3 linked regions of the Callithrix jacchus genome follow. The protein of the gene in region 3 purifies or fractionates together with the protein of the main gene of each other region. This does not show direct contact. Links are inferred from orthologs where the notes say so. Each region holds a gene or a part of one and is shown on either strand. Other genes may lie near its edges. The genes, in order: VAPB, VAPA and PRKAR1A.

Region 1 (3,655 bases), about 71 Mb from region 3:
CAGAACTATACCTGCATTAAAACAGAGTATAGGTCAGTATTTACCCTCTGAAAAAAAGAAATTCTCACTCAAGTGAATGGGGATGGCATGGGGTTTAAAAATGCATATTCAAAATAAAAACTGCTATTTTGGTCTCAACATTTATTTTCAATTTACACTAATGGAGAGTGTGAGATTTTTGTTTTTTTTTTTTAAAGGGGACAAGGGCTTAAACAGTTGAGAACTGCTGATCAAGGGACAGTGGCTCTTAATTTAGGCAGATCCAAGGACCCTTTTGAGAATCTGATGAAAGCTATGGAAATTTCTTCCCGGGGAGAAAAAAGATAGACAAATGCCAAAAGCAAAAATAAATCTATATATTTACTGGTTCATCAACTTCCTCATCCAAGATCCTAGTGAAAACGCCCTTGTTCTCTGTAGCTTACCAGAAAATAAACTATTACCTTGAACTGCTTGTTCTCCTCCCGTAGCCTCTGAACTTCACCTTGCAGCCTCTTACATTCTTCCATAACCTTCTTAACTTCGGCGTCATCCAAAGAAGAACTCAGAGACTTAGACACTGTTGGTGTTTCTGTCTTTGATGCAGTTGTGGATATAATTTTATTTATTTCTACATCATGCTGTTAAAAAATAAATGAAAGCCTAAGTGTCACCAACCATGTAATAAAGGAGACTTTTTTATGCAAAGTAGTTCTCAGCAAACACCAAATGTAGTAGCATTTTATCCACATTGTAAAATGTCACATTTACTTTTCAAATGGATCACTTTATCTAGTATCTTAATAATCTAAAGCAACTGGGCTCTAGAAATTATGGATAAGAGAAAATAATGAAGTTCGGCTGAGACTAATACTTCAAAGAAAGAGAAAAGGGGCTGTGTATGTTGCACTATCAAATTCCTGTCATGCAAAACTTAGCATACTGTAATTGTGCAAGCTCAGGAATTATTAGCCACAAATTACTGTCACCATAAAGATGTGAACATCCCTAAGATTGCCTTGGTGGGGATAGGAGGCTTGGGAGAGCATTTACGCCGAGGGCGATTTATTTTACCAACTTAGCATTTGGAAGCTGGGATGAAGATGAAACAAGCTCAGTGTCTGCAGTGTTTCAATCTTGAGAAGCTACATACTCCCCTCATGTCCCCTGCCAAGACTGAGCTATGAGCCCCTTCTTGAGATTTACTGGGATGAGAGCCAGTCAGTAGAGGGAGGGCATGGGAACATGAAATTTGTCAGGGAAAGAGTAACTAAGGATCACTGACCTGGGTAGCAAACTGAAAACCAGGAATCTAGCTCTACCCATCATTTTCCAGATGAGAAGAGTGGGCCCTGTAAGGCAAGGTCCCAGGCTACAGAGTCAACCTATCACAGAGCTGAGGCCAGAATACAGGTTTCACAACTTCCAAACTGACCTTCCTGTGACAGGCTGTACACTGGGAAGAGGGAAAAATGACCACTTAAAGAAACAGGGTAATGATAGTGGTAAGTGACTGAGCAGAAAGAAAATACCAGGTAGTTTGACACAAATCAACAACATCCCTGCAGATCAACATGGATGATGTTAACAGAACGTTTTGGGACACTGCTATTCCCAACTCCAGCTATTAACCTCTAGGGTAGTTTCATATGCTGCATGTTTTCAGTTTTGGTGTTTTTATGACAATTAAAATGTTTCTGACTATGCTGAAGGGAAGCCCAAATGAGCATTTCAGTTACAGTCTCCTTTCTTCAACTGGTCACAAGTGAGGACCATGAAAGAGACCATGAGCAGACAGCCTAGAGGATGGGGCTCCTGCCTTCTCCCAGGTAGGCAACACAGGAGTGGGATCATTCTCAATGGGGGGTTGATATTGACCTCCAGGACACGTGTGGTAACATCTGGAGACATTTTTAGCTGTCACAACTTGGGAGTACTACCGGTACCCAAAGGGCAGAAGCCAGGGATGCTGCTATTATTAAGAGACCTTGCAGTACACAGGGCAACCTCCAACACCAAGAATTATCCACCCCAACTGTCAACAGTGCTGAGATTGATCCTCACCTAAAAACAATCTTTGACTGAAGACATAGATAGGGTAAAAGGGGTAGGGAGGCTGACAAGGCACTCTGTAGAACAAGAGAACCTGAGAGCTTCCCACCTGTCTATCAAGCACCATAATAAAGGGCAAATTATTCCCTGTTTGACTTCACCCACTGTTTAACAGCAACCTATACCTTTGCCGGGCCACAAAAGCTCTTTGGGATTTATGACATCGCAATGGACATTGGGCTGCACTTTTCAAGGGGAAACACTGCGTCAATCAGTTGTCTTTCTGCGAGTTTTTCAAAGGTTGATTTCCTAAAGGCCCACTTATTTGTTGACTTCAGCTTATTTTTTTCTTCAGACATCAGAGAAAGGAAAATAATTTGCCAACTTAAATCTTGTTTTTTGCAGGAGATGGTATGCAAATAAGTATCAGCTTGCAACATTCAATTATTGTTAACTATAAACATACTTACTGGTTTATCATTCTCTGCTGGCAATTCAAACACACATCTAAGTTTTGAATCCATAAGGTCTTCTGGTTTTGCCTCCTTCCACTAAAACAATTTAAATTTAATAATCAAGATATTATAAAGCTGCTAGAAGAATAATTTTCTTCCTATGACAATTTCAGAAAAATACTCTTAATGAGAAAACCCCAATGTATATCAAATAAAGAACTAAAGTCTGCTGAGATTTCAATATTTGTAACATGACAAGAGTAAATACACTTGCCTTCTTGAATATTTATTACACTTCACAAACCCTGAAGACTTGCTGCCTGACTCCTCAAAGTCAACCAACGCTCCCCATGTTGCTACTCTGTGGGAGAGGCCAACCACTGAACTGAAAGGAATCCTCTAAATAATGTCTGGCTGACCACAGGTAACCTTAGTTCTCCATATGAAAATACAACTTATTTTAGATTGGGCATGGTGGCTTATGCCTCTAATCCCAGCACTCTGAGAGGCTGAGGTGGGAGGACTGAGGACTGATTGAGCCCAGCAGTTTGAGACCAGTCTGGGCAACGTACGGAGATGCCGTCTCTACAAAAAAATTAAAACATTAGCTAAGCATGGTGGCACATGCCTGTGGTCCCAGCTACTCAGGAGGCTGAGGTGGGAGGATTGCTTGGGCCCAGGAGGTAGAGGCTGCAGTGAGCCAGGATCATACCACTGTACTCCAGACCAGACAACATTGAGAGACTCTGTCTCAAAAATAATAAATAAAATTTAAATGCATATCCTTCTTAGAAAGTGTAAGCACATACTATCTGAGAGTGGTTTTAGAACCACTCTGCCAACCTCCAACAAAACGCAATCATTACCAAATTCCTCCTCTGACACTGTGGCAGTGTCTGGGCTGTATCTACCCCAAGGCCCATCTCCACCTCTCCAGGCTGTAGTGAGAGCATCTTCCTAGCTAAATTCCATGTTCTAAGAGGATGTGCTCCTGATTACTTCTCCTCTTGGCAGCAGAGGATGGGAATTTCAGGGTATTCTAGGATTATAGACCAGCATAGCAGCAAGGTTATGATACAGAAAAAGAAGGCAATTCCCACCCTCCGTGCCTCCAACCCTTCCCAAAACTATGCAAGAGGCAGCTAGTGTAACACAGGTACCAAGAACCA
Region 2 (3,655 bases), on a different chromosome or scaffold from region 3:
TCATTTCATTAATGGCCCCTACTGTCTTCACTTGAGTTGTTGTCAGTGCTAGTACTGAAAGCCATTCAGCATGTTCCCTGTATTGTTGACAGCTGGAGGCACATGATACTAAAGTACTGACTATTGTAAAAAATAGGGTTCTTTGACTTATTAGCTCTGTTTGGAAATTGACAACTCTGTATTATTAAATACCTAATGTCCAACTAGTGGTAGTGGTTGTTTTTTAAGGAGTGAATGTGGTTTGTTATTTTTGAAGTTTTATGATCTATTCAGTTGTGTTCAATTCTAAAGAAATTTTGAGATATTTTCTAAATTTCTTAACTCTGACATTTTCTAAATTTCTTAAATGTATTGCATTTCATTTATGTCCTCCATATGACATTTGATGGTGACATATTTTCTAGGAAAAAAATGCCAGTTTTTTTTTAATGAAGACTGAAGGAACTGTAAAGAACAGGGATTTCAGGGGTCTTACTACTATAAAGACATTTTATGGTTGAATATACTTTATTTTCTGTTGAGACAGAACAAATGGGATATGAGTAAGTATAATTAGGGAAATCTCTTTCCCACCGGTTTGTAGAATACAGTATTACTTTTACCTATTAAAGGCATTTGAGAAGAAAAGAAGAGAACTATGGAGTTAGTGGTTGTGTGAATCTTTAAGTGTGTTTGTTGGCCTGGGACGTGTGTGAGAGAGTGTTTGTATTGGGGATAGGCTTTAAATACAAGAGAGGTTTATTAAAAAATGTTCAGATTGAGTGTTATCAAAGGTAAGAAGACATGAAAGTGCTTATTTTTCAGATCATTGACAATTACTAATTAGAAAAAAACATGAAGAGTCACAAAGGATTAGATGGTATTCATTTTAAAACAACATAAAGCTGGCATAAATTTTAATAAAATATGTACCTTTAATAAGTCTACATAATGCAATAGATTAAAACTGATTTTGTTTGGGAAATATATAAAAAGCGAGTTCAGAAACTTTGTACTTTTTGCCTTAACATAGCTATTACTTGCTAGTATTGTTTCTTATGCATTAATGCATTTTTAAAGAGTAAAGTGTTAATGTTTTAGAACCTAATGCTTTCTGTGTCAGTCATTCCCAATATGCAGAAGAAATCAGAGTTCGGTGAGAATCTGAGAATATGTTTCCCATGCCATCTCAGGGTGTAACTCCACCAGGGACTGCTCCGACTGTCACTTCAATGAGCAGCATCAACAACAACACAGTTGCCACACCTGCCAGTTATCACACGAAGGATGACCCCAGGGGACTCAGTGTGTTCAAACAGGAGAAACAGAAGGTTTGTTATAGGGAGCTAACAGACTTAGGAGTCTACTAGTAATAATGATTAAGTTAATGTAGATATCTAGCTGATAAGAGGTATTGTGAGTGTGTTATATGAAGTAGAGGGAATTGAACTATGCCTGAAATTAACAGTGAAACTACAAAGCACTTAAAAATCATGCACACAAACTATTCTGTTCTAAAAAACTTCTGAACTTACTAAAATCTCAATAGTGAGCAGGACAATATAAATGTAAACATTATGAAGTTGGTGTAATTTTTTTCTTTGAGATTTGGGGAGCATATTCTTTTTTTCTTTTGAGATGGAGTCTTTCTCTGTCACCCAGGCCGGAGTGCATGGCACAGTTTTGGCTCACTGCAACCTCTTGTCTTCTTGGTTCAAGCGATTCTCCCACCTCAGCTTCTTGAGTAGCTGGGATTACAGGGATTTGCCACCATGCCTGGCTAATCTTTTTTTTTTTTGGTAGAGATGGGGTTTCACCATGTTGGTCAGGCTGGTCTCAAATTCCTGACCTTAGGTGATCCACCTGCCTCGGTCCCTCAAATTGTGGGATTACAGGCATGAGCCACCACACACAGCCAGCCCCACCGTTTTAACAGATTGTTTATACCTTGATTTGGTTTTGCAGATGATATGCATACGAAGGCTTTAAAAAAATTATCCTTTATCTAAACGTTTAATACTTTTTTGTTTTTGTGATTTGGGAATTATTTACTTTTGGGAATCATGATCCTAGAGAAACGGTAAATTAGTTGTTAAGAGTGGGGAAAAAAATTTTCAGGTGGCCTTGTTCTTGTTATTTACATCCTGTCTCTTAATTCATACGTTAAGACCTTAATTCTGCCTCTGATAGTTTATGACAGTACTCTTGACTTTAGCCTCTTAACTTCTTTAGTCCATTTTTATCCATCTCTCCTGTTGTTAAGAATGTAGCCTCACATTTATGTCCTTTATCTCCTTTGTTCTTCCCATGGCCTCTTTGCAAACTTTTCCATATATTTCCAATTCCTAGTTTCCTCTTTTTCTGTTTAACCGCCAGTAGGAATACTTGGAATATTAGAACTGAAATTCTGATGGTTAAGAAAGAATACACAAGTATGGTTATGCATCTCTTAAGGATCTATATTGAGAAATGTGTATGGTGATTTAGTTGTGTGAACATCATTGAATGTACTTACACAAATCTATATATGATATAGCCTGTTGCTCCTAGGCTACAGACTTGTATAGCATGTGGCTATACTACAATCCTAAGTATTCTTCCAGCTAAACAATCTACACCAAGCTTGTTCAGCCTGCAGCCTGATGCCCGCATGTGGCCCAGGATGGCTTTCAATCCAGCCCAACACAAATTTGTAAACTTTCTTAAAAATATTTTGAGTTTTTTTTTTTAAATAGCTCATTAGCTCTTGTTAGTGCTAGTGTGTTTTGTGTGTGGCCCAAGACAATTCTTCCAGTGAGGCCCAGGGAAGCCAGAAGATTGGACACCCATGACTACACACAGAAAAGTTGCAGCAAAAAGATGGCAGAAGAGATAAAAACCTACATGCCTGTATAGGGCACGTAGTATGAATGGATTTTCTAGAACTGGAAGTTGTCCTGGGTGGGTCAGCGAATGAGTGGTGAGTGAATGGGAAGACCTAGTACACTTAGGTTGTGTTTATTAAAATTGTTTTCTTTAATTTTAGCTTTCCGTAACTACTTCATAAACTCTAAAATTAAAATTTTGACTTATAATTTAAAGCATAAGCACAGTGTATACATAGATTAAAATATCTTTTTTATGTCCTTACTAGCTTTCTTTTTTTAAAATGAGATTATTTTCAAAAACTTTGTATGTTAAAACCAAGACACAAGCACACATATTAGCCTGTACACAGGGGCGGATTCATCAGTATCACTGTCTTCCACCTCTACATCCTGTCTCATTGGAAAGTCTTCAGGGGCAGTTAGGCGCATGGAGCTGTCATCTCCTATAACAGTGCCTTCTAGAATACTTCCTGAAGGACCTATTAGAGTCCAACTTAGAGTTAACTTTTTGTTTTCATAAGTAGAAGAAATATACTCTAAAATGCATAATAAAAAGCATAGCAAATACATAAACCTGTAATGTAGTTTATTACCAAATATTCTGTATTGTACAAAAATCGTATGTGTACGATTTATAACTGGAGTACAGTATGTATATTTACACCGGCATAACCACAAACGTGAATAATGTATTGTGCTGTAACCTCACTAGGTAATAGGATTTTTTCAGTGCCATTATAATTGTGTGGGAACACTATCATATGTTTGGATCATTGTTGACCAAAACGTTGTTATGTGGTGCATGACTG
Region 3 (3,655 bases):
ATTTTTTTAAAATTTTGATTACGCTAGTAATTGGCTAATCAGATTCTCACTCCAGTGGTTTGCTCTGTGACATTAGGACACTCCCATTGGATAGAAGTTACATATGGAGAATGTTCGATGTTCTTCATTGTGTTTACTTGCTTTCACTTAGAGTTGACTTGTGTGCCCTTGTAATTCTCTGTTCTGTTTACATACTTCCCACATCATCATGATTTCTTTTGCAAGGGAGAACTGAATGAAATTCCCTTAAGGGCCTGACTTCAGCACCCGCCTCTGCAGAGGATAGTGGCTCATACTTCCTCCCAGGAGCTGAGGTTATTGACTCTCACTGCTGTATACAGAGCACAGGTCCTGCAGCAGTAACCAAATGAAACATTTGCTTGGAATAATGCTAATTCTGTACATATTTTGTTCCTTAGTCCCCACCTCCTTGTTTAAAAACAAAATCTATGTAGAAAAAAATCCCTATGAATCAGATGCCTAATGAATGTAGCAAGTCAAATGCCAGACTGGCATTTTGCTTTATAGTTTATACAAGCATATGTGTGTGTTTTCTCTCAGAGAACCATGGAGTCTGGCAGTACTGCCGCCAGCGAGGAGGCACGCAGCCTTCGAGAATGTGAGCTCTACGTCCAGAAGCACAATATTCAAGCACTGCTCAAAGATTCTATTGTGCAGTTGTGCACTGCTCGACCCGAGAGACCCATGGCTTTCCTCAGGGAATACTTTGAGAGGTTGGAGAAGGTAAAAATAAATGTGGGGAGATGATGAGATGATTGTGACCACTGTTACATTTAATAACTGTAAAATTATTAATTAGTAGATTTATCAGAAAATGAACCTGTATGCTAACTGTAGTTGGGTAACGAAGGGTTTCCAAACAGTTCTTTGTAACTTTTAAAATTAATGTATAAAACTAATCAGAAGTAGTCTAGCAGTGCTATGAATAGGAAATTCTATAGTAATTGAAAATAGTTAATACTTCTCCCTTTTTGAACAAAGCAGGTAAGGGTAATAAATCTTACCCTGTTTTTAAAACTAGTATAAGGAAACATTTGAATCTAGCTTGTGACTGATGTATCAGAAATTTTCAATTATATTAAGTCCATTTTAATATAGAATATATCTCTGATGAATTACTATATAGATAGTGAGATTAATGGTCCTCAAAAATTTTACTCCATATTATTGGTCATGACTTGTTTCCCCTTGAAAAAAATTAATCCAGTTTTTATTCTTTGCTGCTCTTTCTCCTTGCATGTAGGTCAGTTGTGACTCACATATGTGGCGTATGCTTTTCTAATTTTCTAAGTAAAATGATAATTTTACATCAAGGACAGTGCTTCAATTCATTTCCCTCAAGAAATGATGAATTAAAATGTCTGGATCACCAAATGTTTTGAATAGTTTATGTGATTTGCTTCTGTAAATCAGTGGGATAAACTTACAGATTTTCTTGTGGATGTGGGAGTTTTGAGGTGGTTCAAAATGATTTTGAATCAACAGAGACATTTCTTTGATATATGATTATCTAATTGTATAATAGAAATATTTGTATTGTTTTCCATTGGTTTTTACAGTTTCTTATCAGCATAGTTTATTAGTAAAAAAATCTGTACTAAGATTTAAAAAGTATTTGGGTAGCTCAATGATCAGGTTATTCTATTTTCTTTAAAAACTGATTGTTAAAATTTGTGTTTAGTACCATGATCAGAATAATTAAAAAAAAGAACAACTAGTCACTGTGAATGTTGCTTTGCTGTCTTGGAATTATAATAGATACTCTGGCTTTCTTTTATATATGCAATTTCCAAATAATGGAAATATTGTAGAGCTAAGCCATAGTCGTACCTTGTTTTGAAATCAAGTGCGTTCCTGGAGATCTGGTTTTGAAATGGGTCACTGTAAGGTGATCCCTCTTCTTTGGACATCAATAGAAACCATCAAATGAGAGGATTAAGTTGGTGAGACATTAAGTGTGTATCTTTTTATAGGGAGTGTTGAATGTGTGGTGCTAGTTTCAAAGCTTGTAGTTGCCACAGTACTGTTAAAAACTACAAAGGTAGGAAAGCAATAAATAATTATTAAAATGGTTTCTTTGCAGATGGGATTTTTAGATTTAATGTGTGTTGGTTTTTTTACCTTTTAATAATTAAAGTTACAGTTCCACATGCTTTTTACTATAATTCAAGGGTCTTTGTTGACATGTGTATATTCCTTTAGCCAGGGTTGAATATAGATACCTGTACCTTTAGGTAACTAGATTTTCAACTTTTTAACAGGTTATTGTTTTATTTATTAAGTGTTAATTTGTATGTTAGTCTATTAGTCCTATCCCATGCTGCTACTAAAGACATACTGAGGCTGGGTAATTTATAAAGGAAAGAGGTGTAATTGACTCACAATTCAGCGTGGCTGGGGAGCCTTGGGAAGCTTACAATCTTGGCAGAAGAGGTAGCAAAAACATCCTGTTTACAGGGCAACAGCAAGGAGATGTGCTGAGTGAAATGGGGAAAAGTCCCTTATAATGCCATCAGATCTCATGAGGACTCACTATCATGAGAACAGCATGAGGGTAACCCCCCCACCATGATTCAGTTACCTCCATGGGGTCTTTCACAACACATAGGGATAATGGGAACTACTATTCGAGATGAGATTTATGTGTGGACACGTCCAAACCATATCATTCTACCACGGCCCCTCCCAAATCTTATGTCTTCACATTTGAAAACACAATCATGCCTTTTCATCAGTCCCTCAAAGTCTTAATTCATTCCAGCATTAACTCAAAAGTTCAAGTCCAGAGTTTCATCTGAGACAAGGCAAGTCCTTTCCACCTATGAGCCTATAAAATCAAAAGCAAGTTAGATACTTCCTGGGGGCATTAGATACACTCATTTCAAATGGGAGAAGTTGGCTAAAACAGAGGGGCTATAGACCCCATGCAAATCTGAAATCCATCGAGGCAGTAATTAAATCTTAAAGTTCCAAAATGAACTCCATTGACTCTTTGTCTCACATCCAGGGTACACTGATGCAAGAGGTGGTCTCCCATGCCTTGAGCAGCTCCACCACTGTGGCTTTGCAGGGTACAGCCACCCTTCTGGGCTGCCATTGAGTGTCTGCAGCTTTTCCAAGGGTATGGTGCAAGCTGTTGGTGGATCTACCATTCTGGAATCTGAAGGATCGTGGCCCTCTTCTCAAGCTTCATTAGGAAATGCCCCAGTGGAGACTTGTGTAGGGGCACCAACCCCACATTTCCCTTCTGCACTGCCCTAGCAGAGGTTCTCTCATGAGGGCCACGCCCCTGCAGCAGACTTTTGCCTGGACATCCATACATACATCCTCTGAAATCTAGGTGGATGTTCCGAAACCTCAGTTCTTGACTTGTGTGCACCCGCAGGCCTGGCACCATGTGTAAGCTGCCAAGGCTTGGGGCTTGCACCCTCTGAAACAATGGCCAGAGCTATATCTTGGGCCATTTTAGCCAAGACTGGAGCTGAAGCATCTGGGATGCAGGGTACAGGAGTCCCTGAGCATGGCCCAGGAAACCATTTTTCCCTTCTAGGCCTCTGGGCGTGTGATGGGAGGGGCTGTCCTGAGGGTGTCTGACTTGCCCTGAAGACATTTTCCACATTGTCTTGGCGATTAA

What was found.
Region 1: the proteins of PRKAR1A (region 3) and VAPB purify together in Homo sapiens (affinity purification with mass spectrometry; 3 studies listed by BioGRID and IntAct, counting the BioPlex papers as one, with this or other methods). This does not show direct contact. The link is inferred for Callithrix jacchus from reciprocal best matches to the Homo sapiens genes PRKAR1A and VAPB.
Region 2: the proteins of PRKAR1A (region 3) and VAPA purify together in Homo sapiens (affinity purification with mass spectrometry; 3 studies listed by BioGRID and IntAct, with this or other methods). This does not show direct contact. The link is inferred for Callithrix jacchus from reciprocal best matches to the Homo sapiens genes PRKAR1A and VAPA.

The regions. Positions count from the first base shown.
Region 1 is NC_133506.1:54,024,918-54,028,572, reverse strand, and holds part of VAPB (vesicle-associated membrane protein-associated protein B/C), read right to left. Parts: intron 2,583-3,655; coding exon 2,502-2,582; intron 621-2,501; coding exon 444-620; intron 1-443. UniProt on the Homo sapiens protein: Endoplasmic reticulum (ER)-anchored protein that mediates the formation of contact sites between the ER and endosomes via interaction with FFAT motif-containing proteins such as STARD3 or WDR44.
Region 2 is NC_133514.1:52,977,518-52,981,172, reverse strand, and holds part of VAPA (vesicle-associated membrane protein-associated protein A), read left to right. Parts: intron 1-1,172; coding exon 1,173-1,310; intron 1,311-3,655. UniProt on the Homo sapiens protein: Endoplasmic reticulum (ER)-anchored protein that mediates the formation of contact sites between the ER and endosomes via interaction with FFAT motif-containing proteins such as STARD3 or WDR44.
Region 3 is NC_133506.1:124,593,775-124,597,429, forward strand, and holds part of PRKAR1A (cAMP-dependent protein kinase type I-alpha regulatory subunit), read left to right. Parts: intron 1-561; 5' UTR 562-567; coding exon 568-744; intron 745-3,655. UniProt on the Homo sapiens protein: Regulatory subunit of the cAMP-dependent protein kinases involved in cAMP signaling in cells.